4 linked regions of the Diceros bicornis minor genome follow. The protein of the gene in region 1 purifies or fractionates together with the protein of each later gene. This does not show direct contact. Links are inferred from orthologs where the notes say so. Each region holds a gene or a part of one and is shown in the gene's direction. Other genes may lie near its edges.

Region 1 (8,178 bases):
CCTATCTCTTGGGGTTTTGGCAAGGATTGAACAGGCACTCAAAAAATGTGAATTTATTTTCTCTTCCTCTTAATCTTCACTTTGACATCAGAGGGTTTTTCTAGGGTTTATTACTAAACAACACTTTTTCATTTCATGGTATCTGATTGCAAGTATCTGGAGCAAAGAGACCATATCTTATTAAATTTTGAAGACCAGCACCCAACCACATTTAGGTGTTTAATATATGTTGGCCAAGTAAGTGAGGTCCTAGGGAGAGTTTGCTCATGGACTTCTGTTTAGAATTGCTGACTCTGGGTTCATCTAAATAAAGTGCATCTCATATCCTATTTGCTATCTTCATTATTAAACCTGCCTATATTTTCTTCCAGTTTCAATTAGAAACGCAGCTAAGTGATTTTGAGCAAGTCACTTACTCTACTGTGTAGTTTCCTCATTTGTAAAAACAGAATAGTTTCATAATAGTACTTCCTAAACTTCATAAACATAGTACGTGCTAAGTGCAAAGTGCTATACAAATACTTGTTATTACTACAGAAGCTAGTTCATTGTGCATTTTAATTTATAACTGTTATCCTGTGGACACACCCACCAACCTTTTTTTTTTTCCCTACTACACTACTTACTTGTTCTGTACCACCCAGCTTTCCTATATTTATCTTTTTCTATCCTTTTGTTTACTGTTACTGTGGCTCAGAATCACTGATCTCTGCAAGGGACCATCTGATTAGCCCTGGAGGAAACCAAAGTGTTATAAACCAAACAAAGGCATATGTTCACAACTAGGCACACACAGTTCAAGACATGAGGCTCAGACTTGAAGATAAAGCAAGGCACACCAGGAGAGGTGGGGACTGCGGTTGAGAAAGAAGTACTGAGCAGAGGCAAGGAACATGGGATCTGAATCCTGACTCAGCTGCTTTAGCCCTGTGGACCTCAGGTCAGTCAGGGAACCTTTCTGGCCCTCAGTTTCCTCATCCGAAAATCGGAGGTGGTAACAGTACTTACGTCATAGTATTATTATGAATTTGAGATAGCATGTGCAAAGCACTTAAGAACAGTGTTGGGCACATTGTAAACACTCAGTAAATATTAACTATTAAAATTATTATAAACTGATGAGTGGCTGACACCGGGTGGGAAGGTAAAGTAAGAGTTTGAAAGTTCACACAAACAACCATTGAATGTTAATTTCAGTAGTTCCGTACTTTCTCATAAACTTCTCCCTCCTTAAGTCCTAATTTGAGACTGAAATACTTTTTTTTCTATCAAATTTCCCCATCTTGGTCAGATTTTATTTTTCCTGAGGAAGATTCGCCCCGAGCTAACACCTGTGCCAATCTTCCTCTATTTTGTACATGGGTGGCTGCCTCAGCATGGCTGCCAACCCGTAGTGTAGGTCTCTGGGTAACTGAGCCTGGGCACCAGAGCACAGCGCACTGAACTTAACCACTAGGCCACGGGGCTGGCCCCCAGACTTTTTTTTTTTTTTTTTCTTTAACAGCATCAGTTCAAAATATTTGAAGGCGGTAATGGTACAGTTACTAATCATAACCTTAAGGTAGACTATTTTTGTACTTTATTATATACAAAAGAATAGCCATGCTTCCAATTTGTATAACCTAAACATTTTTTTGTGTGTGAGGAAGATCAGCCCTAAACTAACATCTACTGCCAATCCTCCTCTTTTTTTTTCCCTTTTTCTCCCCAAAGCCCCAGTAGATAGTTGTATGTCATAGTTGCACATCCTTCTAGTTGCTGTATGTGGGATGCGGCCTCAGCATGGCCAGACAAGCAGGGCGCGACGTGCCCGGGTCCCAATGGGGGCCGCCAGTAGCGGAGTGCACACACTTAGCCACTGAGCCAGGGGCAAGCCCCTAACCAAAACATTTGTTATTCACTTTCCTGCTGGTATAATTGGGAGTAGGGATGGGGAGGAAAGAGGAAGGCAGGATTTAAAGCTTTGCCTCACAGCATTTTAGGAACTAGTGGCAAAGGTCTTTAACAATAGTTCACATGGAGAGGCAACATTTCATCTGACAAAGTTGCCATGCACTGAGTTTGCTTTTAACATTCTTTACCCTCCTCCATGACAGCCAGAAACCTCATGTTCCCTCTTTTTTTTTTGTGAGGAAGATGAGCCCTAAGCTAACATCCATGCTAATCCTCCTCTTTTTGCTGAGGAAGACCGGCTCTGAGCTAACATCTATTGCCAATCCTCCTCCTTTTTTTTTTTTTCCCCAAAGCCCCAGTAGATAGTTGTATGTCATAGTTGCACATCCTTCTAGTTGCTGCATGTGGGACGCGGCCTCAGCATGGCCGGACAAGCGGTGCGTTGGTGCGCGCCCGGGGTTCCGAACCCGGGCCGCCAGTAGCGGAGCGGGCACACTTAACCGCCAAGCCATGGGGCCAGCCCTCGTGTTCCCTCTTAATTGCAAAGAACAAGAGCCTCTACTGCTCTTGGGCTATAAAACCCATGCTCAGGCTTGAGATGACAAATTAATTGCATGTTGGCCACATTTACCCTGGATGTTTTCAGTTTGGCCTGCAAGGTTTTGAAATATTGGTTGCCAACACTTAAAAATCAAGAGATTTCACATAAAAATACAGGTTTAGAATTTCTCTGAGGGGGAAAAAACCAGAGACTATCTGAGAACACTGGACCCACATTCCTGAGGGCAGCAATCTGCCAGAGCTGAACAGCTGCTGCCTTCAGTTAGAGCACGGACACTCCAATTTGCCACATTCCTTATCCTTCCCCATTGTCTTATACCAGGCCCGGTTTACTTATTTGCTTTACTTTTCTGGCCCCTGTAGGCATTTGACTTTAAAAACCCTATCTACACCTTTCCTGTCTTCCATCAAAGCTTACTTAGTTCTATCCCAAATCCCTCATCAGTTTTTCAAAGCAATAGCTAGGTAATCTGATCAACTATGGATATTTTTACATGTACTTGCTGGAAATCGTTGTCTTAATAGAAAGGGATGACTCTGCAGATGGAAATTACAGGCACCACGGGCTTACAATCAGGATGGCAACTGTCCATTCTACCTTCTCTGCTTCCAGACGTAGCCATACCTCACTGTCCCCAAGCAAACCAAAGGCACTGGTTCTCTGTAGAATGAACACTGGCCTACGTGTGACAGCTACTTAAATGGTACTTTCATAGATCACCCTAGGTCCAAAGGACCAAGGGTTACTAAGGGCTGTTCTGATTCCGTTTCCTCGGAAGCTTCAGGATATCCGGCCTGACGGCATTTCCCCTCACCTGCTTTCGAGCCCGTTTTGCGCTGGGCAGTCACGCCCAAGGAGCGCGCGCGTCCAGCATGAGCTCATTTCTCAGGGGCGTTTCCAGAAGGCCGGCCTGGCCGCGCGCACAAGGCGCAGCTGGCCTCCCTGTCTCAACCGCCCCGCCGCGGGGCGCGGCCGCCCAGAGGCGCTGCCTTTCTGGAAGCTTTGTCCCCACTTGAGTGCCTGAGAACTCGCACCCGGGGAAGACGCGGTATCCTAGGCGGAGAGGAGCCCGGGCGCGCAGACCTAGCCGCGCCCGCCGAGACCTCCCGTGGGTGGGGAGAGCCCCTAACCCTCTGCTCGCTCGAGCGCTCCGAGCCAGCCCCGCCGACCGCAGCGGTTTCGGACCGGCTGTGTGGAGGGCCCGCGCTCCTCATCCGCGGTTTCCACGCCGGCTGGGAGCAGCCGCAGACCAGCCCCTCAGCCACCACCCCGGCCGAGCTGCGCCCCGCTTCTGGGCCCGCCGCCGGAAGCCAGAGGCCAATCACATGGCAGCTAGGTCTTGCGATTGGACGGCGGTGAGCGCCGATTGGCTACGCCACGAGCTTCGGCCTCCCTCCCTTTCCCTTTTGCCCCCACGCCAGCTCCGAAGGTTCAGGCCAATCAGAAGGCGCTTTATAGACGCCCTCCTTTCGCTTTTTTCTTCTCCCCACCTCGACGAGGGAGGAGACGTTCTGACTGGCCAGGCTGTCCTCGGAAGCCCCCTTCTCTTCACCAATCAGCGAGGGAGGAACACTCCCAGCGGAGTTTTCAGCCAATTACAAAGCGGCCGCGGCGCCCAGCGGTGCCGTTTCACCAGCAACGCAGGGTTTCACCGTCCTTTAACTCTTCAAGCTTTTTCCTGAGGGCCGGCGACTCTGATTGGCCACTGTTGCCATTGTCGAATTTCTCTTCTACCCAGCCACAGAACAAGGCGAACCCACCTTCTCGTTCGGCTATCTTCGGCACTTTCCGCTTTTTGGGCGTGGATTTCCAGCGACACTTTGTAATTGGTTCCTCAGGTCCATCGGCTTTTTCCGGGAGGAGCCGCAAAGAAACGACGTCCGTGATTGGCTCCGCTCGGTCTTCGGCTTCCCAGCCGAAGCGGGCGGTCGCGGGGCTCGGCCGGCAATTCCTAGACGCCTGTTACGCGGGCGGCGGGGCGCTGGGCGGTGTAAGGCTGGGTGGGGGAGGAAGGAGGCGGCGGACGAGTAGGAGGGGGGAGGGGGAGTGGGGAAGAGCTAGGCGGCTGCGCAGACGGCGCTCCTCACACAGAGCAGCCCCCGACCCGGGCGAATGCGGGCTTGTGCTGCCGCTGCTGCTGCCGCCGCCGCCGCCCGGGCCGAGTGACAAAGGAAGGAAGGAAGCGAGGAGGAGCCGGCCCCGCAGCCGCTGACAGGGCTCCGGGCTGGGGGCAAAGCGCGGACGCTTCCTGAGCGGGCACCGAGCAGAAGCGAGGGGCGGGAGGGCGGCCGCGCTGGTGCCGTGGACGGGGGAGGGGGCCCCGAGGGACGGAAGCGGTTGCCGGGTTCCCATGTCCCCGGCGTATGGGGAGCAGTCGAGGAGCCGCTGCCTGGGATCTGAAGGGAGCTGCCTCCGCCACCGCCGCCGCCATGGCCGCTGGATCCAGCCGCCGCCTGCAGCTGCTCCTGGCGCAATGAGGAGAGGAGCCGCCGCCACCGCCCGCCTCTGACTGCCTCGCGACTCCGCCGCCCTCCAGTCAGCCGGATCCCGCCGCTGCCGGAGCCGCAGCGCTTCCCGTCGCATCTCCGAGCCACCCCCTCCCTCTCCCTCCCTCCTTCCCATCCCCCCTTCTTTTCAAGCGTGAGACTCGTGATCCTTCCGCCGCTTCCCTTCTTCATTGACTCGGAAAAAAAATCCCGAGGAATATATAATATTCAAAGTACTTATTTTCAATCAAGTATTTGTCCCCGTTGCACGTGATTTTTTTTTTTTTTTTTTTAGGATTCCTCCTCCCCCCTTTCTCCCCTACAAGGAAAGGGAGGGGAAAGAATTGTATTTTTTTCCCAGCCCCAAATCATCTATATGTTCAATATCCATACTGATCTGTCTTGAAGGAGAAATACATCGCTCGTTTTTTTTTATAGCTGTACAAGAGGAGTGAAAAGCCAAGTGGACGAAGTCTTTTTCTTTTTCTTGTGGGAGAACTTAATGCTGCATTTATCATTAACCTAATACCCCAACATAAAACAAAAGGAAGCAAAGGAGGAAGGAAGGAAAAGGTGATTCGGGAAGAGAGTGATCATGTCAGGGCGGCCCAGAACCACCTCCTTTGCGGAGAGCTGCAAGCCAGTGCAGCAGCCTTCAGCTTTTGGCAGCATGAAAGTTAGCAGTGAGTATTGATTTTATTTTATACCCCTTCTTCACCTCACCTTTAAAATAAGAAACCTTGAAATACCAGGATCTTAAGATCCTAGATCTCCTGATATAACCATCAGAGGTAATGGAAAAGCGCAAAAACCTGTCTTCAGTCAAGGATGAGGCAGCTCCCTCTTTTCTCCTCCCATACCTCCCCCGGTCTCATTAACCTTGAGTGCAGAGAATATGATTTTTATTTGGATGATTCGATTTGAAACACTTCTTAGAATTTTCTTGCTGGTGGTAGTCAGCTTTATCAAGTGCTTGAGTATTTCCATGTTAAAATAGTGATGGGAGTGTTTACTTGCTTATCCTTTGGAATAAAGAGAAGGACAAGACTTGATTCATAAACCATTATGTGCATTTGCAGAGTCTGTGTCTCTTTGAATGAGGAATATTGTAGTTAGCTCAGATCTCTGGGCTTATCATAGTTTTGTACACTTAATAGAGAGCCTTAATGTCACAGGCTTCTAACATTTCTCTCTTGCTTGTGTGACTATACGCAGTGTTTGTTCTTTATCCAGAGATAAACTTGCTCAGTGACCAGCAGTGGCGTCTGGGGGCGAGCATCGATTCCTCCCTTAGAAGGGGCGGGTGGGAGCTGATAGATACCAGTAACAGGAGTATGTCTACATGCATTGTATTAAATTGGATAAGTGGTTTAATATGTTCTCTCTTAACTTTTCTGCTTTGACATTACCGATCTACTAGTATATAATTTATGTTTAATCAAAAGGTAACTTGGAACTGAGTCTGAGTTTTGATTGAGGTTTTTATTGTCATGTTGCCACATTCCAAGTTGAATGTTAATTGTCACTGACTCATCATTTAAGTTCAATTTTGGGGTGTCATTGCATTCAGTATTTGTTAAATGATCTAGACTAAAGGGGTCCCTTTTTAGGACTGTTTAAAATTCTCTGGCGTTGGTTTCCTGTCGTATTTAGATAAAACTATAGACTTAGTTATAAGAATATGGATTTTAGACCTTTCCGTCATAGATTTTGCAGAGCACTGTGGTCCTGAATATAATAGGGATATTTGGGCTGTGTTCAGGGTTGTTGCTAGACTGTACTCTTGTCCCAGATTTGTGCTGAAAAGTCTGTGTTCTTGAGGTGTTTGGTATACTAAGTATCCGATATTCTAATGTATCTCTCTCTATTTGTGGATATGTTTCTGTGATATTTAATGACAGCTTATTTAAATATACTTCCAGAATTTGACAAAAATATATTGTTTTCTTATTCCTTGAGAAAGGGGCATGATGAGGGCAAAGAATACTATTTTGTTGCCTAGGAGAAGAAGAGAACTGAAGAACTGAGATTAAAAAAATGTACATGCTGTTATATGAAATTGATTATAACCTTAGGCAACATAAAATGATCACTTTTAATTGAACTCAGGATTTCAATTCATGTTGGCTTTTGAAACTTGCGTGAAACAGGGTAATCTAAGGTAATAGCTGAATGGGAGATTATTTTTGAAAGTTAATTTTTTTTTTGGTGACTAGCTAGTACAGAATGCAGGGTATGTGAAGAGAAAAGCTGACCATGCGTCTTTCAGGGAAGGGTCAAGCTTTCTAAGCACTTCATGGGGTCATTTAAAAGGAATATTTTAAAATTCAGGCGTAATTTTCAGCTATGATGAAGCAAATCTTATAATAGCTACTTAAGAGCCTCTTGTGGCACTGGAGTGTTTGTATGTTTTTCTCCTTGGTAATATAGTTTAAAAACCACTTGAAATCAATTTTAGGTAATTAATTTGTTAGATCTGTTTCAGAGAGCCAAATAGAATAGCTTATAATGTTAAAATTTTGAGTTTTTTGTTTCCATGATTTTCTTTGAAAATGACTCCTTAATTCTCCGTAGTGTGGATGTTGACTGAGGATGGAGTAACTTTTGTAAAGTCTGTAGGTTAAAAGGTGTGATTTTCTATTAACATATAGGTCAACTTAACATTTAAAAAGTTGGAGTTCGACGCTAATTATGTGTTTTTGACAACCTTGACTTGAAGGCTTTTTTAGAAGAAAGGGGAATCGTTAGGCGTTTGTTAGAGTGCTAGTGTTCTAAGGGACCCTTATTCAAAAGAGAGACAAGTAAGAAATGATTGTCTTTGGCCTCAAAAGCTTATCATTTAGTTTTAGAAGCAGGTTATGGGACAAAATAGGAAAACAATAGCATGATGACTGAAAGATTATAAATACAAATAGAATGTTTTGTTCAGAGGGACAAAGAATAAAGGGATGAGGCAGATGGGTTGGAGAGGAAGTGTGTTTTAAGACAGGTGTTAAAGGAGGCGGTAACTTGAATTGATAGAGAAGCATAAAGGATTCTTGATGGAAGGAATGAACAGAGGCATGGAGATGGCGATTTTTGTATGACAGATAAATGATTTTTGTGTTTACCAAGCAAGCTGGTAAATCTGAATTAAAGGGACCTGAATAGGAAAGTAAGAAGAGATGAAATTTGAGAAATGCGTTCATGTTTGTGCTGATGAAGGGCAGAGGGGGCCTGTGAGTTTGGTTGAGATTG
Region 2 (7,912 bases), on another chromosome or scaffold:
GCTGCGAGCTCAATAAATGTACTGAACTAAGTAATGAAAAAACTTCAATAAAAAAACAAGAATAAAGTCATAGTCCTAAGGAGCGGAAAGAGAGTCATCAAATCCAACCTCCTATCCAAAGAGAATTTCCTTCTTTCAACATTTTGCATTTTTGACCACTTCAATGGGAAAAAAACTTCTGAACTTATAAGACAGCCCATTCCAATTGCGGAAGAATTCCAAACCCCTTGTCTCTATTCCTCCCTCCCACTTCAAGCCCTTTTAAAGTAGTGATCTCCAAAGGGGGGTATATATATTCCAGAAAGAAAAACAGATGATCTATGTACAGGGATGTGAGAAGAAAATTAGACATTCTATATTAAATTTTTCACATTTTTAGATTTAAAAGTTTTACTAATATTCAACATACAAATAGGCATTGGCACCCTCACTCCAGCCATACATCAGACTAGCAGTTCCACCATGGGGAAGAGTGAAGGCTGGTGCCCTCAGCTGGATGCTCCCCTTCAGCACACTGCAACTTACTTGAGCATACTATATTCTACATAATAAAAGCAGACCTTTGAACAGTAGAATCTTTGTAAAGAGACAGGAAGTGACAATAACTTTCTGATTTCCTGGGTTTTCAACGGCCTAATGTTTACGAGTTAAATTTAAAGATGATAAGCAATTTTCTTCTACACAAAGAGAAGAGTTCTAGATATGCTAACCATTTATGTGATGACAGATGGCTACCAGTAGTATATGCTACCTAGCAGGTACATTCCAAAAAACAAAACACACTTTATCTTGTCAAAGTAAAGATATCACTTCAATAACGAGTGAGAGGGGCCAGCCCGATGGTGCAATGGTTAAGTTCTCAGGCTCCACTTCAGGGAGCCTGGGGTTTGGGAGCCCAGATTCCGGGTGTGGACCTACGCACTGCTCATCAAGCCATGCTGTGGCAGTGTTCCACATACAAAGTAGAGGAAGACTGGCACAGATGTTAGCTCAGGGACCACCTTCCTCAAGCAAAAAGAGGAAGATTGGCAACGGATGTTAGCTCAGGGCCAATCTTCCTCACCAAAGAAAAAAAGTTTAAAAAAAAATAAATAATGAGTGAGAAAGTAACTGCTCTTCAAAGGATACTTGTACTAAGGGGAGAACATTTTGAAAAATTATATTTGGAAATATTTCCAGTGTTACATGATTTTGTTGCTGAAATATATCTATTAAAAATACTATTTTTTCAGTCATTATCTACACAGATTATAAAAGATTTGAAAACATGGAAAGATTATTCCAGTGAATCTAAAAGTTTTCTGAACAGAGTTTTTAAAAATAGGTTTTAAAGTTAATTTTTTACATATATAAAAATCAAATACCTTCCAATTAGCAAGAATAACTGATTGAGATCAAGGAAGAAGGGAACGTCACAGCAATTTCAACACAATCCTGTGCACAACTGATGGTTGAGAACTGAAACATTAGTAATGTTGCCAACGATGCAATTCTTCCATTTGGATCTATGAATCTTTGTGAGGTATCTTTTTTTCAGTCATGACAGTCATTAAAATCAAATGTCAAAAGTAACTGAATTTGGAATCAAAACTTTGAATAGTTTATATCTAAGTGTCACATCAAGATTTATCTTAGTCATCAACACAGCACACTATAATTAATAAATCAATAAATCGGCAACAGCAAATGTATACTGGATGCTTTACTTGACATTATCATTTTTGTTAGGCATATCCCTCACCTTCAAGGAGCAGAATAAAACATAATCTTCAGATTAAATCTAGCCATAAATTATTCTGCCAACGATCCTGAGGTCAAACTGTAAAATTCAAATATCACCACCTCTGGGCCGGCCCCGTGGCTTAGCGGTTAGGTGCGCTAGCTCTGCTGCTGGCGGCCCGGGTTCAGATTGCGGGCGCGCACCGACGCACCGCTTCCCCAGCCATGCTGAGGCCGCGTCCCACATACAGCAACTAGAACGATGTGCAACTATGACATACAATTATCTACTGGGGTTTTGGGGAAAAGAAAAAAGGAGGAGGATTGGCAATAGATGTTAGCTCAGAGCTGGTCTTCCTCAGCAAAAAGAGGAGGATTAGCATGGATGTTAGCTCAGGGCTGATCTTCCTCACAAAAAAAAAAAAATTTATATATATATAAAACCACCTCTGATTTCCCATGAGGATTAAACAAAACCACACTAATTCAGGTGCCTAGCCGAGTGTCTGAAATAAATAAATGCTCAATAAACATTAACTACCCTTTCCTTGGCTTGAAGCCATGTGATTAATGAATTAAGAATTAGATAGGTTTGAATTCTCATTGTACCACTTGCTAGTTGTGTGACTTGGGGCAAATTATTTAACTCCATCTGTAAAATGGAAATAACACCCCACCTTATAGATCATTAAAAGAAAAGTCATTAAAGAATAATGCATAAAGCCATTCAACCCACAAAAGACAATTAATAAATGTCCAACATTCCTCCTTCAAGATAGCCTATTCATAACTGTACCAAAAGTATAGATTTATGGGTGGTTGAATTAAAAAAAAAAATCCATCAGAATCCCTATCTTCTAGTAAGAATTACAGCCATACAGTACCCTAACACCCGTGCCCGGCAAGGAGTGTACACTCCATTAATGTTTATTGAATTCAGGTGAATTATGTGCACTGTCACTTGGCTAACTGTGGCAGCCAGGGCTAGCCTGATGTGGGACTAGGTCTTTCTGCTACTCAAACCAGGGTTCTTTCCACTATCCTGTGTACCCTCTCTCGTTTAAGTCATCTACTTACTGATAAAATTATATGCTTATTCATATTGGTACAAGTTAAAGGTCATAATGAGGTGTTACCATAATTTGAGTTTTTTAGGTTTCTATGGCTAAGGAAGTCACTACTCTGTTAAAAATGCTCTTACATAAAAGGAAAAAAAACACTTAAGCTTCTTCCTTAAATCAGGAAGAAAACAAGGTTTCCTTTCGTTTGGCACAACTATCATAGGAAAGTCACCTATGTTTATGATTTCCTAAATGTAAACTGTGTAGGAATGTTTTTAGGATAGCAAAATTCTAGAAAGGTACAAACCAATTCAAACCGTAAGCAGCAAACGCTAGTGCAATAAATAAAGCCACTCTATTCTTGTCAAACTCAGAGCTGAATATACTTTAAGCAAAACACTATGCATTGAACATACAAATGCAGGTACAACTGTACGCGGCGCGTTGAAATACACATGAAGCACCTGTAAGACACAATGAGTCAACCCACAGCTCTGGAGGATAAATAGATAACAGGTTTTAAAATGTCTGAAAATTGCAGCTTCAGTGCTTTCGCAACACCTGCGTTTACGATCTGTCACGTGAAGCAAACAGGCATAATTAAACGGCACTACTAGGGCCACAACCATTCCCAGGCTGGCCTTGTTAACCTATCGTCAAGTAAAAGCAGGCAAACCGGCAGAGGCCTGCACCTAACTTTCTTCCAGATGGCAAACGCTGTCACGGGACCGCGGCGTTCGAGTAGCCAACCCAAAATAAATAAAGGAGTAACTGGGAATTCTGACATCCCCAAAGGCCCTCCTCATCCTTAATCTTTCCGGAGTGTCATCGCATGAAACGGGGTTTGTATGCCACAGAACCCCGCGACCCCTCCTGCCCCGAGGGGCAGCACTGGTCACCTCCTCCGATGGACCCCTTCCGGCCAGCTTCCAGACCCCAAACCACTGACTCAACCCATTCGCATAGTGCAGACTTCACTACCTCTGTTCAGTTTCCGCAGCACGTGATTTGGGGGCGCAAACTTGCTAGAAACAGATTTAACAAGACTTGAACCCATTTCTCTGAGCCCTGCCACACTTGGATTCAAACAATTCCCAGGGAACGTCACCAGTCTTAGATGACACTCGTTCAAATCGCCCGAGGAGGGGAGCGAGTCCCGCCCGGCTGGCCGCCGGCAGCTCTTACCCATTTGTCCAAGGGGACCTGGGCGAGGGACCCGGTGCCCTGGTACAGGTCCAGGCTGAGCTGCTCCAGGCTCAGCTTCTCCTGCAGGAAGTGGCCCAGGTACCTCTGCAGGAGGTACCGACAGGCCCTCTTCTTGATGGACTCTGAAAACGGCCAAGGCATGATGAGGGCTGGCAGCTGGGCCGGCGGGGGCTGCGGCTCTGGCCTTGGGGGCGCAGGCTCGGCTCCAGGCCGCGGCGGCGGTGCCTCGGGTCCCGGCCGGCGTCCCCAGACCGCGGCGGGGCCTAAGCCCGAGGTGGCCCCTCCATGCCCTCAAGGCGCCAGGCGTCCCTCAGGGCGACCCCATCGCCTGCGCCGCCCGCGCTAGGCCTGGCGGGGACAAGGCGGAGGACTTCCCGTCGCCCCAGGCCCGGGGGCTTCCGCGGGGGTCCTAGTGGGCACAGGCAAAAGGTGCGAGAGAGGGCGCTGAGACGCGGCAGGGGCTGAGGGGGACACCTCCACCACCGCGGCGCAAAGAATTTGTTGTCATCCGCCAGGCGCGCTCCCGGCTCTGGGGACGCTCCCGGCGCGCGACCCCGCGCTGGCGGAAGTGACGCCACACTGGGGGTCGGGGGGGCGGGGAGAAGGGCCCGGAGGGGAGCAGTTCCGGCTCCGAGGGGGCGGGGCGAAGGCGGAGGAGAGGGCGCGGCGCCGGGTCCGCTCCAGACACGTCGGGAGGGCGGAAGAAGAAGACAGCGGTTGCGCACAGGTGAGCGGCCGGGGCGGGGGTGACCGCGGGCTTGCGGGCGGGCGGCCGCTGAGAGGGCTCGGGGGCGGGCCAGGGGCCCTCTGAGCGGGACGCGGCGCAGCGGCCGGGCCGTGAGGGGCGACGGCGGAAGGGGCCCGTGCGGCGGCCGAGAGGAGTCTGGGGGCGGGTCCGGCCTGGGCCGTCCCGGTCACCTTAGACCCCGACCCCGGAAACGGGCGCTCGGAGCGCCGCGGGGAAGCTGCAGCCGCCCTCGAGCATCCCCGCCCGCCCCCCGAGTATTGACCGGTGCCCACTGTCGGCAAGTTATTGGTCCCCTGCCTCGTTCAGGTATTGTCTCCAAAGCTTCGTTTCGTTACTGTGTGTCTAGTGGCTTGCAGTTCAGAGGGCGCTTTCTTCATCCTGGGTGGGCTGCACCAAGACCAGGAAACTTGAGTTTTCGAGGCATTTGTGGGCAGAACTGCCTTCTCTGATCCGTGCCAAAGCCTCCCGACCCCTGAGAAACCTGAGCGAAGTGTTTGTGCTGTTCTGGGAATCTGCGCAATCGTATTTCTGCCTTTTAGGAGACAACAACTGCAGGGGCGGAGCTGGCTCTTCACTCAGTCAACCCGAAAAGGCCTGCGTGCGGGTGCTCAGCGGCCTGGAAGCCTTCTGTCCTGGGTCAGAATCCTGACCCTGGCATTTATTAGCCGAGCCGCCTTGAACCGGCCACTGCCCTCTCTGAGCCTTTGCCAAGTGTGAGCGTGTTAATATCTTATCTCCGAGAATTGTGATGAAGCTTAAATGATAAGAGTAGGGAACGAACCTAAGCAGAGTCCTGATAACGTATAGTTTAATTTAGGATGGTAAATGAAGACGACCTGTTTAAGGAGATTTTGTTTAGATGTTGATAACTTTCATGAATGCCTTAGGATTACTAACACAGAGCAGAAATGTCGACAGAGAAAGCTCTGGTTCCCCTTTCCACAACCACTTTTTCATTTTAGAACCAGTGTGCTCTCCAGTGTATGTAGTTGCTTGGATTGTTGCTGCCCCTCATTCTTCGTAGACTTGTCCCAAGCATTCTCGGTAACTTCAATTCCCTTGCTCTTCATTTATTCAAAAATATTTGTTAAGGATCCGTTAAATAAAAGTCTCCACAACTGGTGATGTGAAAATGTAAAGAATCAGGCAGAACCTTCAAGGAGCTTATGTTCTAGAGTGAAAAGTCGATTCCTTTATTCAATAAATATTTATTGATTGCCTGCATGTGCCACGGACTGTTCTAGGTGTGGGGATACAGCAGTGAACAGATTAAGTTCCTGCCCTCCTGGAGCTTGTATTTTATTGAAGGGAGGAAAAACAAACAATAATCAAATAAATCATATGCCTTGTGCTGGTAAGTGCCATAGGGACAAATAAAGCAATATAAAGGAAATGGAGAGGGGAAGATTTGCCACTTTTATATAGAGGGGTAAGGAAAGACCTCTCTTATTTAATAGGGTGACATTTTAGCAGAGACTTGGAGAAAGCTGGGGAGCAAGGTACATGAGTACCTGGAAGAGTTGTTTTCCAGGCAGGGGGAACAGCAAGTGCAAGGCCCTATGGCAAGAGCATGCTTGGTGAGTTCAAGAAACACCAGGAGGGAGTAAAGGAAAGAGGAGGAGACAGGGGGTGAGGGGTTGTCAAGTCATGCCAGGCCTGTAGACCATTATAAGGACTTCGGCCATTACCCTGGGTGAATGGGGTCGAGGAGACAAGTGACAATCTGACCTCTAACTGCTGTGTTGAGAATAAGACTCGTGTGGGGGTGGGAGGACCAGAAGAAGGATATTGCAGATCAGTTAGAAGGATATTGCCATAATCCAGGCAAAAGATGACAGAAGGATATTGCAATAATCCACGCGAAAGAAGACAGAAGGATATTGCAATAATCCAGGCAAAGGATGACAGTGGCTTGGACTAGAGTAGCAGCAGTGAAGATGGTAAGAAGCAGTTGGTAGGCAGATATATTTTGAAGATGATAAGACATGTTTGTGAATAATAATGATAATACTTGCCATAAAAGGAATATAAACAAAGTGGTATGAAAATGTGAGATCTCTTTTGGCAGGGAATTACAAAAGGCCTTGGGAGGTTTGAACTGGACTTTTGGCGGATGGGTACAGTTGACTTCTTTCAAGTCCATATGTTAAATAAGTGATTTCCCTTGGAATATAGAATTACATTCAGGCTGTCCATTGAATGCCTGAGATTTCAAATATCAGAAAAGGAAAATAAAAATTGGAACATTTTGTAACAAACATACTCCCTTCAAAGTGTTAAGTGTGTTGTCTTATATGTTTTATGCTTTCTAGAAGAAATTCAGCATATATGTTAAGGTTTAGGAGCTGTCATGATTATATCTTTAGCTTAAATAGGGTGCGAACTCACCCTAAATCACAGTGCTATTTTTGTGTTTTATCAAAGACAAAGTATTATCACAAAATGTTAACAGCATTAATTAAGTGAGGAAGGTGAAGATAATTTCCAATCAAACTGTCAACTTTTTCAGAATTTTGTGAAAGGATTTGAAGTGACAGGTTAGAAGCTATATACTAGAGGCTGGATGGGCCATCCTTCAAAGAAATCCATGTTTATATGTGAAATCAAAGCCGATAAGATGATGTTGGCACTTTTTTTTTAAGACTTGCACCTGAGGTAACAGGAATATGATGTTAGGGCTCCCAGACTGCACAGCTCTTGGGGTCGCACAAGGCAGCAGCACAGTCACCCTACGTAACATAAAAACACCGAATTTAGTCAAACTGCTTGAGTTTCAGGATCAGCTCTTTTCTTCTTTAAAGATGTTTTTAAACACTTTATTTTTAATATATAATAATAGATAATATTTCTTGAGCTTACCGTGTGCCCAACACCATACTAAGCCGTACTGACCACTTCTTGTTCATGCTGAGAGAGTTTTCCAGACCATGATGTATGATACGAATAAAAGTAACCATGATTAAGATACTGCTTTCTGGCCCTCAGCTGACTGTCGTATTGTCAACTTAAAAGTCAAACTTCACTTCAAAAGTGAAAATTTGAAATCTGTATACTGCTCTTGAAATCTTTCTGGCTCGGTTCTTTTGTCAGGCTGTTGTATGACTGTCTTTCTACCCCCATTCTTTTCTCATCAAGGACAAAACTGACCTCTACAATCTTCTCCAGCTCTTTGATGCTG
Region 3 (8,263 bases), on another chromosome or scaffold:
AATATACATGCTTTTAAAATAAAGGCATGAATGAGATACTTTATCTTTTAAGGTTAAAAAGCATTTTTACATGTTTAAATGGCTGATAAAATTATAAATTCCACATTTTTTCCATTTTCAGAATGTTTTACATTGGTTTATTAAGTATTATTAAATTAAGTAATGCATGTAAAGCAATCACCAGAAAAGATGGTCTTCTCCATTATCTTTTCTTGTATTTTTCAATGTTCTACATAACGAATGTGTATTAATTCATTAGCATAAAAAAACAAAATCCCAAAACTGAGCAACGTGGAAAAGAAGGACTTTACATTTCTCTTTTACAAGTGAACTGCCAGCTGGGGCCATCACTCAGGCAGGAAACAGGAATTCAGCAAGTGGGCCAAAGGGAGACTCAAGTTTTCAAACAGGAAGCCACATGACATGGAATCTGCTTCTGGCTGTCAGAGGTTGCTAGTGTAAAGCTCCCAAGTTCCTGGGGAAAGATGATACCTGCCTTTGTAGTCAAAAGGTCATTGGGAGGATTAAGCTGAGAGGCTAGCTTTGTGGAGTATGCTCAGTTTCACTGAAAGGTAGAACTAGACTGAACCAGCAAATTTTAGTCTGAACTATGACATTTAGTGCCCCATGTGTTGCTGGGTCATAATTCTTTCATGTGCATATAACCCAAATGTCTTGGCTACATTAGACTATGTAAACAAATGAAAGTAACATTTCCATTAAATAGCAAAATTACATTGGAGGAGACAGCATCAAGGTGATTGCTAAAAATTAGCCCACTAACATGTTCCCTGGGGACATGTGAGGCGTTCCTAGGCATAATCTTAGGTGCACTTACACACAGCCTGTGTTCTCTGACTTGTCACACTGCTGCCTTAGCTCCTTAGTACACCACTGGCCTTCCCCTCTCCACACCTCCCTTCTGTAGTGTCCCCTGCCCCGACTTGTGTCCCCTGCTCCCCCATCCCAAGCATGGGATAGGCCTTTCCATTAATCCCCTTACCACAGCATAGACTGGGCTTATAACATTGCAGACTTTACTGAAGACTCCTAGTGTTAAAAAAAAATCATTAAAGAAAACAATTTAAGTGATACAAATAAACTTGAACACTTCATGAAGCGGACAGTCTCCATTCAGAGAACTACAAAATGGGGCATAAGGCAGGAAGCTTTTATAGGATAAAGAATAAAAAGCAAGGAAGAGAAAAATAAAATATCTGATTGCCTGGGGCCACAGAGTTAACCTTGTTTCCGGTCAGAAGGAACAAGGAAATGAGTATAGAGCCCAGAGTTGGCTTGGCCTGTGGGGATTGGCTGACTGGGTATGCCGTGTTTCTGATGCAGTGAAGCATTTGCAGGGACTTGGGAAGTTAAGTTGTGGTTTGCTGACATCACACCTGGGCAGGAGCGCCTCCATCCTCCTTTCCTCTTTCCCTCTCTTCTTTCCCTTTTCTTTCTTCTTTTTTTCTTTCTCTCTCTCTTTCCCCTTCCTTCCTACCTTCCTTCCTTCTTTCTTTCTTTCTGCCTGTCTCTTTCTCTTTCTTTCTCCCTCTCCCTTCCTCCCTTTCTTCTTTCCTTTCTTTCTGTAGTTATTGACTAACTAATAACACCTACCATATGCCAGGCATGTGTAAGTAAAAACAGATGTGGTTCCTGCTCATGAATCCTACAGTCTAGTAGAGGAGAGAGACATTAACCAAATAATCATTCAAATGAAAATCATTATAAATTCATCAAAGCATTGAAGAAAATTACAGTCCTGGGTAAGGAGGAGCTTACTTAGTCTGGGGAGTTAGGACAAGAGTTCTTGAGGAAATGAGAGTAGAGCTGAATGCTGAAGGATTCACGGAAATTCAGAGGCTAAGGGGGATGGACAGAGAAAGAACATTTGATACTGAAGGAAGCAGGACAGGTCTGGCCCTATTTTGAGGAACTGAAAGTAGGACTTCTGAGAGGGAGAATGATAGGAGAGCAGAGGAGAAAGTTAGGTAGATCATGGGGAGATAAGAAACCACTGAAGGGTTTTAAGCAGGGGACTGACATGGTCAGATGTGAATTGCCAGAATACAAATGCCAGCCTTCTGGGGCTAGAGTGCACATACTTCAAACAGCAGGCAAAAAAGACAAAGCTAGGAGCAAAGTAACTGTGCTAGGAAAAGAAATATGGACTTTGTAAACTGGATAAATTTTATTTTTTAAAGTATTAAAAAGGAATAAGCAACATCCACACAAAACTGGTATACAAATTTTCAAGCAGCATTATTCACAGTAGCCAAAAAGTAAAAACAACCCAAATGTCTATTAACTGATAAACTGATAAATAAAATGTGCTGTATCCATACAATGGAATCATTATTCAGCGATAAAAAGAAATGAAGTACTGATTCATGCTACAACATGCATGACCTTTGAAAACATTATGCTAAGTGAATGAAGTGAGGTATAACCAACCACATATTATATAATTCCATTTACATGAAATTTCCAGAACAGGCAAATTTATAGAGACATAAAGCAGATTAGTGGTTGCTTAGGGTTGAGGATGAGGTGGGGGATTGACTCCTAATGGGTATGGGGTTTGAGGGAGCAAAACTGTTCTCAAATTAGATTTTGGTGATGATTGCACAACTATGGGGATATACCAAAAAACACTGCATTGTACACTTTAAATGAGTGAATTGTATGGTATGTGGATTGTATCTCAATAAAGCAGTTAAAAAAAGAAAATAATTTAAAAAAGAATCCAGGAACTAGGGACATCTATAGAAAGGAATCTCAATCCTAAATTTCTTCTTGCTTTATATTCGTTGTAGTCCAAATAATTGTAGCTAGCAAAAGAGACCACAAGGACTGTCCTGCTAGGGTGAACTGGGAGGATCTCGGGCTCTATTCATACATGTTAGGACGGTAGAGTTGAGTCCATTGTTCATCTAAATTAGCAGTACCAAGCAGCTGTTTCAGTTAATCATTATAAGAACGGCAAAAAACACTCAAAAGAGTATTCAGTTCTTTCAACATTTTAAAAGAATGGTCTTAATTTGTTAAAACAATACCTTTTCTCTTTTTAGCATTTTTCCTTTTAAAAAGTAACCCTATAATGTTTCTTGAAATCTTATTTTCATTAAAATTAAGGTGTTAGCTTAACGTGAAGATAATGCCTCAGCTCTATTTTCTATTTCTTAAATCTTGATTAGGAACATGTGAAACATTACTTATTCAATACTACCTAGGTTCAAAATAGCTACCGAGAAAGGGAACAGGAGGTTGAGCAGGTGGCAATGCTTCCATTTTCACACTCTGAGAAGGCCAAGATTTCTTAGGGAAGCATTCCTGGTATCTGTATTAATCAGTTTCATAGTTCCTCAGCCGGTGTGTGTGTGCGCGCGTGCGCGTGCGCGAGTGTCCAATTTCATTTAGCTTGTGCTGCTGACTCTTATCAGGTTTTTATAAAGATTCTTTTCATTTCCCTTTCCAGCTTCCGTCTTACTGGTGTGTGCATGCCAAACTTAACCACTCTGCGTGTAGGCTAGTTAGATTGCCTTGTTTTGTGTATGAGGAAGCTGAAACTCAAGGATGATAAGGTACCTTGATTTGGCTGCGTCACCAATGAGAGGTCTTCCAGTTGGAACTTGAGTCTCCTGATTTCTGTTTTTTTTAGTGGACATCTTCATTTTCCAGCCTTCAACCTCTATCTTTTCAAATCTTATCCTTAGGAATAAATTTCTGCATTGAACATCACTTTATGTTGCTTTTTCCTAGAACTGACTTTTAGACAGAAGAGGTGGTTATCTGTGTGGTGTAACTGGAGGGAAAAAAAATCAAAAGACACATTCCTTTTGGGCCATTTGTTTTCCCAAGTAACAAAAAAATTCCCGTTTATTTCTCCTATTGTAATTAAATAGCAGTAACTGAAGACGTATCTAGATGCTCTTAACAAAGGCACAAAACAGCACCAGAGCTCTGACCTAATGGATTTTAGAAGAGGAATGTCCAAGTCGTTGGAAATTAAATCTTTCAGGATTGTCTTTCTCACGGACTACAAGTCTCCTGATATCCCAGCTTCCTCTGTGGCCTTCTTAAGATATTCTTTTCCGGGAAGAGCTTTAAAAAATAAAAAAAAAGTGAATCATAGGTGTCTCTCTCCTATTTAAAACTCTCCAACGCTTTCCATTGCACTTAGAATTCTAATTCTCAATTTCTTTCCTGGCTTACAAAGCCCTACAGGATCTGGCCCATGTTTGTTTACTTCTCCAAGCTTATTTCCTCTTACTTTCTTGTATTTTCCCCCTCAAACCCCATTTAGGGCCTTTGAATTAGCTGTTTCCTTTGCCTGGAATGCTCTTTCCTCTGATATTTGCATGACCGTTATACAAATCACTGCTTAAATATCTCCTCCTCGAAAGGGCCGCCCCTCAAGTAGCCACCCAATCACAATCACCATCACATCATTTATTGTATTTTCTTTGCATACAGCTTAACAATAACAGGTTTTTTCTTTCTTCTCTCTCCCCCTCCCCCATAAGCCCTCTAGAACCTACACTTGTCTTCATCGCTGCTCAATGGACAGCCTCGAGTAGCGCCTAACAAATACAGGAGCTTAATAAAAATTTGTTGAGTGAAGAAATGAACATACGAATGCTCCCTGTTTTTCCTGCCCCTCTCTCCCAAACAGGACAAAACTCATAATGAGGATACACTGAAAAATGTCTTTCTCATCTATCAGGTATTAACACCCTTGAGAAATAGATGTCCTTGAGGAGACTGTGCAACTTGACGGGACTAGCCCTTCCTATTCTAAGTGGAGAAAATCGTATGTTAGCTTTTCATCTAGGGCTGGGTTTCTCCGTGACCCATGCTTTACTTCCGATTCTGATACCGCGTAGAGACGCAACGGTGAGCACTAGGGCCCGGAGATCCCTCGATGCTTTGTTGAGGTTCGGATAGGGCCGCTGGCCTGGTGCGCTGTGAGTGGTCCTCCCTAGAGATGTTGGGGAGAAGGGGCGGAGCCACCCCGAAAGCATGAGCCTTACTTGGGCCGTCAGATCTGCGGGGCTGCCGCTTTGGGGCCCCGGGAATCAGAAGAGAGCAAAGCTCGCCTGTGGCGAAGAAGGAGCCCCGCTGACCCCAGGCGGTAAGACCAAGGGGTCGAAGGTAAGGAGGCAGGGCCTGAAACCAAACCCGCAGAGCAAGCCACGGCTTAGGTATTTTGCCAGGGGAAAGGGTTAAACGGTTTCCAAGGTAACGGACCAGGAAGCGCGCAAGACGTCCGCCGCAAGTTCGTAGGTCAGACTCGAGTTTAAAGCTCCCACGGCTGAGCGGATTCCGGCCAATGGAGAGGCTGCCTCGATATCACGTGACGCACGGGGCCGAGCGGCTAGCTGCCTCGGAGCACGTGGGAACGTTTTTCCTGTTCCTTCTTTGCTTTTTAAAAAGCCCACCCACTTTTGCGCGGGCTTGGTAACGGAGGTCTTCTCGCGAGAGGCGCGCTCCCCTCTCGCGAGAGTGAGTGGGAGGCGTGGGGACTAGGTGGTGTAGCGGGCTGGAGCTGCGGCGGCGGAAGGAGGGGGTGGGCAGGGCGGGGGCGGGGAGGGGGAGGGCTGGGGGCCGGTGCTGGAGGGGGCGTCTGCTTGCTCGGCAGCTCTCGCGACTGGTCGTTGCGGGCCGGTTACGTGCCTGTGAGTTGCGGAGGCTACGGCCCCCAGGTGAGCCGGGCGCGGATCGGCCCGCGGCGTCAGCAGCGCGTTGGCTGGGGTGGCGGCAGGGTGTGGGGCGGCGATTGATGGGGCGGCCCAGCTCGGGCGCCCCAGCCCCTGCGCCTGCCCGCAGTCCCTGCTCTGACTTCGGGGCTGTTCAAAGCTGCGCCTTCGCTCGGCGGTGGGAGGAGGAGCGGGGCGGAGGGAGGAAGCCCAAGGCACTGGGCCGGGGGGAGGGGAGTGTCCTCGGGCCCGAGTGGGGTCTTTCTGGAGTCCGAAGTGTGGCGTTGGGGCTGCAGCCCTTGAATGACAAGCTCAGTTTCTGACCCCAGAGTGGGCTTCAGAGCCGGGTCCTCTCGGTGAGTGGTGGTGTGTGTGCTTAGCTTGTGTTGGTGCTGCGCGCACAGGAGCATATGCAGGAGGAGGAGGGCGTTGCACTTTGTCCCCTAACAGCATCCTTCACTGTCAGAACCCCTGAGCCCTGGAACCGGGCGCACCCCAAATCTTGTGACAGAAACGGAAGACGTCAAGCCCGTCGGAGTATTGATATTGGGATTTGCTGTCAGATTTCCCCCAAGGCTGTTAATGGCTTAAATACAGGCCATGCATATTCCAAGTGCATTGGGTATACCACTTCGATTATTCCGGGCACCTAAGCTGCTTTATAAAAAAAAAAAAAATGTAGATACGACCAAAGTATTTAAAACGTTGGCCAATGACAATGGTAGTAGCATCTAAACCACCACAGTGGGTGTGACTTGGTGACAGTTCTTTACTTCTGCTTTTCGTCTCTAAAACCTTATTAAACTGGAAGTGGTTTAGCTTAAGATGTTAAAGAAATTTCAACGTGAGAAATACTGCTGAGACGTATCTAATGGTCTTAGTGCAAACCACCGTTAAAAATTCCGCTTCTCTTTTCAGCTTTGTAATTATGCAGTCCCTTGCAAAACATGTAAGCTTTCCTTAGCTTCTTCCCACCTTGTTAGGGGTGTTATATTGATTGATACTGTTTTTGATATGTCTGGAAATATCCAGAAAATTCAGAGTACTCGGAAAATATAGGGTACTCAGTCATGCAAAGATGATTTTAATGTCTTGTTTATAATTTTAGGGTAAATGGCAGCTCAATTCTCAGCAGGATTAGTGTCAGTTAAAATAGTGCAATTTAATGAATCTTTTAAAATACCTGGTCAAATAGTATTTGTACAAGTAGTACTATTCAAGTAGTACTGGTTATACTTTTTTATGTTCCTTCTGGCAGAACTGACCCAAGGGTTGAAGATGAATTTCACTGTTAATTGTAGCTGTGAGTAACAGAGCAGTTTATGAGAGATCAGAGAATGTAAGGCAATCAGAACAAATGGGTTCCCAAGCTGACTGGTAACTAGTGATTAGTGTATGTACCCACGTAAGTGAACTATTGTTATGGGACTTGCCCAAGACCCTGAACCACAATGAGGAGTTCCCTAGCTTCCCAGCTGCTGGAGTGAGTCTAGAAGCTGAAGTCCTCCTTTGCTTTTAGAGGCTGGAAGAAGGATAGTACATTTAATGTTGCTGGTTTTTTTTTTTGTTTTTTTAATTTCAGGAACTTACTGTCTGGAAAAGGAAATCAAATCAGATGATACATTATAGGTCATTTTTAGGGAAATTTCCAGTTATAAATAGGCAGAGGAGTTCTGTCTATACTTGGAGAAAATGTGAAAAACTTAAGAAATGTCTTTTTGAGAATGGGCAAAAGGGACCAGTCTAGATTTAAAAAGTTTTGTTCCATTCCATCTTGGCAAACTGATTTTCAGATATAGAAAAATAGCATTTTTTGCTGGTCCTTACGACCTTTTGGCAAGGGTTTCAGGCTTTTAGGATGTAGATATTTGTTTTGTCTTGCTTTTGAAAAGAAATTGAAGTAACTTTGGGTAGGATAATTATTTAGGTAAAATGAATTTATTCTTTTTCTGTGAAGTGGCCTCCATTTTAGTAATAAAATCACCCGCTTGGAGGGAATGAGGGGTGGGGCAGGTCAGGAAAAGATTAAGCTTAGCCTAGGCTTTAGTTAAGGGTGTATAAACTGGTAAAGTAGGGAAAGGAAAGAAAAATACTTTATCTGTTTAAAAACAGACCAAACAGATTCAAATGTCTTCATTCTGCTACTCATCTTTATATATAAAAGTTCATTTTATTTTTCAGTACTTAAGACATTTCAAATGTATAGATTAGAGACTGGACAGGATAAAAGGAGAAAACATTTTTGGATTAATCTGAGAATGTTTCATGGGAAAGAATAAGATAAATGGCATGGTGGCCTGGAACACATTGGGTGTTAACTTGGGTGAAAATGAGGTATAGTGAAAATAGTGAAAAGAGTTCGGGTTTTGGAGTCAGGCAGCTCTGTTAGTTAATATCACTGAGCCCCTTTTTCCTCATGCCTGACATGAGAGTTAAAATACCTCGAAAAGTTATTTTGAAGTACATAGTAGCTGCTTACTCAGTATTTTTTCTTGGACCTCTTTTAATGGCTTGAGGGTGATTTGATTGCAAGGAAGAAAAACTCATTTGAATTAACTTACTTAAAA
Region 4 (7,538 bases), on another chromosome or scaffold:
ATCCCAGCACCTCTTCTGAGTGGCCTTCTGTGATCTTCTAAGCCTAGGTTAGGTGTCCCTTCGGTGCTCCTCAACCTCCCTCTCCCCCCATAGGTTGGCCTGTCTGTGGAAAGCACCCATGTTCCTGCTGTTCCCCTGAGACTGTGAGCTTTTTAGGGTGGGGCCATGACTCATTCATCTCTGCATCCCCACACCCAGTGCCTGCAGTGTGGACGCTCAGGAAACATTTGTAAAAGCTTCTGGACCTGGGATCCATGCAGAGATGGGCTTCAGATCTCTGAGTCCCCTGAAATAAGAGGATAAATGTCTTACGTGTGTCTGTTTGGGCATATTTTCTGAGGAGAAAGCCCATTGTTTTCATGAGCTTCTCAGTGGGGACCATGACCAAAAAAAAAAAAAAAAAAAAATTAAGATTTCCTGGAAGAGGTATAGATACATGGTCAGTAAAATGCTAACATGGGGACAAATTAACAAGATTTGTTGACTTAGTCAGTTTGACAGAATCAAAGAAAGTTCCTGATTCTAGTCAACACACTCGAAAGGTCTGTGTGGGTGACAGACTCATCACTATTTTTTTAAAGCCTCAGATCCATAACCTATAGATATAAGGTGAGCATTAGTTAAAAATAGTTTAGGCAAGGGAAATTGATATCAGAGGGAGAATATTTAGAAGCAATTCATACAAATATCTGGGCTTGACTTGTTTGTAATGATTAATTTTACGTGTCAATGTGGCTAGGCCCTGGTATCCAATTTTCAGTCAGAAATTAGTCTAGATGTTGTTGAAAGTATTTTTTGGATGTGATTAACTTTTATATCAGTAGATTTTGAGTGAAGCAGATTACCCTGCATAATAGGTGGGCCTCACCCAATCAGTTGAAGGTCATAATAGAAAAGATTGAGGTTCCCCGAGGAAGGAGTTCTGCTTCTAGACTGCCTTCAGACTCAAGGTTGCAATATCAACTCTTTCGTGGATTGCTAGCCTGCCGGCATGCCCTGCAGATTTTGGACTTGCTGGCCTCCACAATCACACGAGCTAATTCCTTAAAATAAATCTCTTTTCTCTCTCTTTCTAGATACACGTTCTATTGGTTCTGTTTCTCTGGAGAACTTGACTAATACAACTCTCTATCTCTCTTGTGGAACATTGTGGATTTAAATATGCTATTTTGGATGAAGATATTTTTATTAGACCCAAGATTGCCACACTTCTGGTTTCATGGTTAATATTTTCAATTAATGCTCAAGATAAACACTCATTCCCCATGTAGATAAGCATTTGCCAGTGAGAAAAATAGGAAGACTTTTGGCATTTGAATGCTTGCTGGAATTGGGTTATGTCTGAAACCACAACCTTGGGTTGCACAGGAAGCATAAATCCTGGGCACCACCGCACACCAAATAGGTGGTGGTAGTCTGAAAAGGTCTCCTTGGAAATCTGAAATATGTGGATTCGTCCTTAGCCAATGGAAACCTTAGGCATAAGAAACACTAAGAATGGGCCACAAGGGCCAGCCTGGTGGCTTAGCGGCTGGGTGCGCGCGCTCCGCTGCTGGCGGCCCGGGGTCAGATCCCGGGCGCGCGCCGATGTGCTGCTTCTCTGGCCATGCTGGGGCCGCGTCCCACATACAGCAACTGGAAGGATGTGCAGCTATGACAGACAACTATCTACTGGAGCTTTGGGGGAAAAATAAATAAATAAATAAAATTATAAAAAAAAGAAAAAGAATGGGCCACAAAAGTGTTCCTTCCTTTTGTGTATTGGCTCTCTCAGTTCTACTTCTGCTTACTAAATGGACCACTGATATTTACTTTGCTTTAAGATTGTTTGCTATTGTTTTGCAAACATCATTAACAGCATTTGAGGAACTTTGTTTTAAAGAAAAAAGTTTACTTACAGCCCCACTATCCTAGAAACTTACTTTGTTGAGCTTTTCAAGGACACAGGCCAAAGGAAAGGCCTGTCAAAGGACCTTGGCATCAAAGGCAGAGTCCTCTGGAGAAGGGGAAACCGCACAGAAACGACAGGAGAGCAATTGTCATTTCTGAAATGTAATTTACAAGTTGTCATTCTCACAGCGGCCCGGTGGTACTGAAAGGGCATTCACACCATTTGGAAACCACTGTGGCTCTTTGGTTTTTCAGAACAGCTGTCTCAGTGAACTCTCCCCAGGCTCAACTATCTCCTGTCCATTTCCCTTTTTGTCTGTTAAAGCCCCAGCATATGAGGATTTGGCAGCCAGAACAAGGCTGAACGCGACTGACACAGGAAACAGGCCCGTGGCTGGACAGATGCCCAAATGCAGCTGAATGGGGTCACACACCCGTGCTAAGGCAGGGAAACAGCTGTCACTCAAAGCACTGGGCTTAATATCACCAGCTTGCTTGTTTCCTTATTCTAAGTGTCTTAATGGACTTAGGGAGGTAACACTACTGTTGGGACACAGTACAACTCAGTCTTAAGCTTGTAGTTTGAGTGGCGCTTTAGGAAGAGGGAGAAGTGGGAAGTAAACATTTATTTACTGCATCCCACACTGTGCTGGGCACCTTATTTATATATACTATGCTGCAAAGGAGAGTGAGTGATTAAAGATCACTGCCTGGGTGTGAGCCACACTAGCTGTGCGGCCTTGCGCACGTCACTTAACTCTTCATGCCTCATTTTCCTTCCGTAACAATAACGCAATAATAGTACCCACGCCATAGAGTTACTCTGAGGATTAAATTAATTATTATGTGTAAAGCACTTAGAACAGTGCCAGGAACATAGTAAGCACTGTATGCGTCTTTGCCATTATTATCTTTACTAGTTAATTTTAACAGAGCCCTGCTTATCCTTTTATGATGGAAGAAACTGAGGTTCATGGCGATTAAGTCAATTACCGGAGATGGCAGAGCCTGAAACCACACTCAGATTTATCTGACGGCAGTGTTTTCTTCTTAGAACACGATCGGGCCTGCTCAATGCTATCGAATTCCCTCTCCTGCTTGCCAGCTTAGGGTTCAGTTTATTAGACCTTCTTTGTACTGACGAGGGTGAAATCCTATACGACTGAGGCGCTGTCCTTAATCCTCCATTCCTCCCATCCCTGGCGAAAGGCCAGGTCAGCATGAGGAGGGGTCAGTGGGAGGGGAAACTTCCCTCCTACATTCTTCTGTGGGCCTAATCGGCCCTTGTGATGTTGCCTACACTTGCTCTTTCAGAAAGCAGAGGATAACTCTAACTAACTAAAAGAAATACTCTGATGAGCAGGACGCTTATCACACTGCTTGATTTAGGGGAGCAGTTGGCCTCTTAGGGCAGTGCTGTCCAAAAGAAATAAAACATCAGCCATATATGTAATTAAAATTTTTCTAATAACTATATTAAAAAAGTAAAAAACAAAGGCGAAATTAATTTTAATCGTATTTAACCTAATATATCCAAAATGTTACCATTTCAATCTGGAAACAGTATAAAAATTATTGAGATATTTATATACTTTTTTTGTACACAAACCCATTGTGTATTTTACACATACAGCTCTGGAGCTATATACCATGCGATATAGCAGGTACAGTCCGACACAAGAATTTGTGTCCTCCACGGGCCTTTTTCATTTAGCGACTTTATGTGCCTAAAACTGTCCCCGGCTTCCCCTTTCTTCCTCCACGGGCAGATACTCTGATGGTAAAAAATGGCTGAGGCAGTAAAGAAGTCGCTTTTTCCCCCCTAGTCATCCCTGACTAGCGCAGTTTTTGAGGGCAGTTGAGATTTCTTGTGTGGTCACAGAGGGCTTATGCCAATCGGCACGCTTTGTACTTCTCACCATGCGGGGTCAGGCGTGATGATGGGGGGTATTTCAGGTTCTAGAAGGATTGAGGCCTCTCTCGGACCCTGACAAAGTCCTTTCCAGTGTCTTGTGCTCATAGGGACCGTGTGGCCTCCTTTGACGACAGCACCTCCGGAGGGGAGAGCAGCTCGATCTGCCAAGCAGACACTTGGCGGGGCTCAGATTTCCTGGACCGGATGGCGGGCCCGAGCCCGGAGGCCCGCGCGGCGCTGGCCGGGCACAGGATGAGCGGCGGGGCGTGCGCATCCCGGGCATCCGCCCGGGCTCGGCCCGCGGCGCAGCTGCCGCAGATCCGCCGGGGCCGCCGCCTCCTCCGCGGACTGGAAAAGGCAGGAACCTTCCCGCCCCGGCCCCGCGTCCTCCCCCGGCAGGGGCCAGGGGGCGGAGTCGCCCACCTGTCATCCGAGACGCCCCACGTGGGTCGGCCCGGGGGGGGGGGGGTGGGAGTTGAAGGGAGGGAGAAAAGGCAGAGGCGGCGAGGGAGGCAGGAGAGTGGGGAGGAGAGGAGCAGAGGAGAGAGAACTCCCGATAGCCGCGCAGAGAGCTAGCGAAGAGCAGAGGAAGAATAAAGGGGACCCGAGGCATCCAGAGAGGAACAGGTAAGGAGGGGCAGGTGAACCGAAGGAGGGAAGCACCGGGCTAGAGAGAATGGGGAAAGGAAAAGACGGGAGTGAGGAAGGGGCTGCGGATAAGAGACCAGGTAAGACAGAAACGAGCAGAAGGAGAAAGATTTCAGGATGAAGAGGGGCGGGGGAAGACCTGGGGCCGCGGCGCCTTTAAGGTTGCCAAGGCGACGGCTCTGGCCAGAGCGAGGCGCATTGACGTCGGCAGCCGAGCGCTGATTGGCTGCGGCCAGGTCGTTTCCGGTGGAGCCGCGGCGGAGCCGCTATCGCAGAGTGGACCCTGGCTGGGAGGGAATCGCTGGGAGACCTCAGCCAGCTGCAGCCTCGCACCCTCAGCCCCGTGCCCGCCGCCGCCCGTCCCCAGGTGAGTGGGGTGTGTCGAGGGCCCCGGCGCGGCGAGCTTCGCCGCCCCGCCGCCCGTTTGGGGGCGCTGGACCGATCCAAGATGGCGTCACGGGGAGCGACCTGCAGGGGAACGGCCGCACCCCCTGCCCCTCCCCGGCCCCGGCGGGCGCCTCCCCGCAGGCCTCACGACCCGGGCCGCCGGCCCCGAGTCTGCACCTCCGAGGGCCCCCGGGCCGCCGGGGCGTCTGCTCCGGTGCGGGGTTTCCCCGCCGCCCCGCCCCCTACTCCTCTCCGGCGCGCTACCCCCACTCCGCGCCCCCAGGCCCCCGGCCTCTGCGGCCTTCCCGAGCCCTCCGCGGCCATCGCGCCCCCGCCTCCTCCGCCCCCGCGCGCCGCGGCCTCTTCGCTCGCCCTCCCCCCTTTCCTGAAGGACGACAGCTCGATTTTACCGGAATCCGCCATCGTTTCCCGCAGCGTTTGTGGGTGATCTCGAGACCTAGCCGTTCTTGTTTTCCTCTCTGCTGTCTCCTGCTTGTCATGCCTAGCAGTCGCTTTCCCTCTCTTTCCCGAGATTACTGCCCCCCCCCACCCCCCAGGATGATCTTAGGCTGGCTCAAAAATTTCCTTTTGTCGTCTTTCACCTCCCTTCCTTTCCTGATTTTTTTTCTCTGAGGGGTCCTCGCCGCCGCTGTGGTCTTCCGACTAGAGTAGGATGAAGGATCGGCCTCCCGTCTTCTTTTTGTGGCCATGACGGTGGCATAAGTGAAGTGAAGGGCACTTTTCTGTCCTTCCTCTCGAAAATACGCGATACCTGTTAACCCGTCCAGCTCAGTGCAGGTGTGATGCCAGACGACTTAACTACTTGAGAGATTCCCAAGAGATCGGTCTTTTCAGCAGAGCACAGAAAGCTAACACTTCCTTAAGATGACCGCAAGGAAGTGTTCCTGGCTGGTCTGGGGGGCTGCGGTCTGAATCAGCAAGTTTCTCACTGTTTTAAGTATTTCCTCGCGTGTAATCCTTTTCAAACTGAATTTTATCACAACTGAATTTCCAAAAGAAGGAATCTGAGTATTTTCTTATGAGTAGAGACAATGCGGTGGAAGTGTTAAAGTAGTCAAGTAATTTTTGGGCGGAGAAGCTCAATTGTTGGGCTCTTAAAACTAAGTACAAGTACAGAGTTAATCTAGGTATGTTTGATTAAAAATATTAAGACCATGAAATTTCAGTATTTGGTGGTTTATATAGTGACTGCGTTAATCTTGGGACATTTTTGTTAATGTGCTACCTTATTATCAGCGTCATCTTTTTGGTCTTTTTAATACATTATTTCAGACAAAAACCAATTTCATCTCTGAGACCCAATTCTCTCATTTCTATCAGTCAGAGACCTGATTTTTGAATGATTTCTCTGATCAGTTGAATACATGTATTGATATTTCTGAAATATGTCTGAATGTTTTGAAGCACAAAGGATCTGATTTATCATTGTTCTTGAGGGCCTTCAGTGTTATTTGCTATACAGAAAATTCTACTGAAGTGGATTCTGAGTTTATATGATTCACTTGGAAAAGTGGCTGGTATAAATCTGTCCTAAAGTTAATGACCCTTTTTTTTTTTTTTGGAGTGTCTATTTCTGATGTAGCAGCATGATTCTTTTTCCATGCCTCTAATTTATGTGCCTGTCAGGGAGCTACACACTTTCTCATGGTCTGTTAATTAGTCTACTCGTTATTGACCTTTATCATGAAAGTTGTCAAAACAAAATGACTAACAGTGTAGCACTTGAGCTCTTTACTCTGGTATTTCTTTCTCTCTCTTTTTAAATTTATAGTTTTACCTCAGTGGTTTTGTGTACATTATATTTGGAAAAGTCCGATTAGTATTGAATTCAGTTGCAGAGTGGAGGGCACCTGGATTTTATCTTCTCATCTTATTGCTTAGTACAGTAATTAGGAGTTGGAAGGAAAACAGTTTATGACTCTGTTGTTAAATTACTAAACTTTAAATTCCAGGGTAAGGTTAGCTGCTCATTATTATGTATCTGTTTACTTCACATCAAGGTAGTTGGAACCCTGTAAAATTCATTAAATGCAATTTATCTATTGCATCTTCACGTAAGTTTAAAATTTAACGTGTTTTGACATTTTCCTGTCCAAATCTTTTATCGTTTACTTAGCAAGGTTTTTTTGGTCTGTTTTATTTTTTTTCTATTAAGGATCTTCCCTCCTACCAGTGGGTGGTGAGTGTGTTATCATTTAGGGCTGGAATGTAGTAAAAGAGTGTGGAATAAAAGGTTGCTTTTAAAATTCATCTGAGGTTCCTTATGTGTTTTTAAAATTTTTGATTATACTAGTAGTTGGCTAATCAGATCCTCTGCTCCAGTGATTTCTTGGGAGACATTAGAACACTCCCCTGGGGTAGGCGTTACGTATAGGGAATGTCAGATGTTCTTCCTTGTGCTTACTTGCTGTCACTTAGAGCTAACTTGTGTGCCCTTGTAATTCTCTGTCCTGTTTACCATTTACACACTTCCCACGTCACCATGATTTCTTTTGCAGGGGGAGGACTGAATGAAATTCCCTCAAGGGACTGACTCCTCAGCAGCCCGGCTCTGCAGGGGATAGTGGCTCATACTTCCTCCCAGGAGCTGAGGTTATTGCCTCTCCCTGTTGCTGCCTGCAGAGCCTAGATCCTGCAGCAGGAACTAAATGAAACACTTCTTTGGAAGAATGCTATT

What was found.
Region 2: the proteins of GSK3B (region 1) and GSKIP purify together in Homo sapiens (affinity purification with mass spectrometry; 10 studies listed by BioGRID and IntAct, with this or other methods). This does not show direct contact. The link is inferred for Diceros bicornis minor from reciprocal best matches to the Homo sapiens genes GSK3B and GSKIP.
Region 3: the proteins of GSK3B (region 1) and AKAP11 purify together in Homo sapiens (affinity purification with mass spectrometry; 4 studies listed by BioGRID and IntAct, with this or other methods). This does not show direct contact. The link is inferred for Diceros bicornis minor from reciprocal best matches to the Homo sapiens genes GSK3B and AKAP11.
Region 4: the proteins of GSK3B (region 1) and PRKAR1A purify together in Homo sapiens (affinity purification with mass spectrometry; 3 studies listed by BioGRID and IntAct, with this or other methods). This does not show direct contact. The link is inferred for Diceros bicornis minor from reciprocal best matches to the Homo sapiens genes GSK3B and PRKAR1A.

What each region holds. Positions count from the first base shown.
Region 1 is NC_080754.1:21,499,665-21,507,842, reverse strand, and holds the start of GSK3B (glycogen synthase kinase-3 beta), read left to right. Parts: upstream 1-5,038; 5' UTR 5,039-5,536; coding exon 5,537-5,624; intron 5,625-8,178. Other genes in the region: uncharacterized protein LOC131414749, read right to left, coding at 4,418-5,038. UniProt on the Homo sapiens protein: Constitutively active protein kinase that acts as a negative regulator in the hormonal control of glucose homeostasis, Wnt signaling and regulation of transcription factors and microtubules, by phosphorylating and inactivating glycogen synthase (GYS1 or GYS2), EIF2B, CTNNB1/beta-catenin, APC, AXIN1, DPYSL2/CRMP2, JUN, NFATC1/NFATC, MAPT/TAU and MACF1.
Region 2 is NC_080763.1:41,849,673-41,857,584, forward strand, and holds the start of GSKIP (GSK3B-interacting protein), read left to right. Parts: upstream 1-4,644; 5' UTR 4,645-4,713; intron 4,714-7,912. Other genes in the region: ATG2B (autophagy-related protein 2 homolog B), read right to left, coding at 3,966-4,127. UniProt on the Homo sapiens protein: A-kinase anchoring protein for GSK3B and PKA that regulates or facilitates their kinase activity towards their targets.
Region 3 is NC_080748.1:34,204,074-34,212,336, reverse strand, and holds the start of AKAP11 (A-kinase anchor protein 11), read left to right. Parts: upstream 1-5,071; 5' UTR 5,072-5,151; intron 5,152-5,648; exon of another isoform or gene 5,649-5,702; intron 5,703-5,988; exon of another isoform or gene 5,989-6,052; intron 6,053-8,263. UniProt on the Homo sapiens protein: Binds to type II regulatory subunits of protein kinase A and anchors/targets them.
Region 4 is NC_080757.1:50,074,258-50,081,795, forward strand, and holds the start of PRKAR1A (cAMP-dependent protein kinase type I-alpha regulatory subunit), read left to right. Parts: upstream 1-4,353; 5' UTR 4,354-4,432; intron 4,433-4,711; exon of another isoform or gene 4,712-4,820; intron 4,821-5,261; exon of another isoform or gene 5,262-5,280; intron 5,281-7,538. UniProt on the Homo sapiens protein: Regulatory subunit of the cAMP-dependent protein kinases involved in cAMP signaling in cells.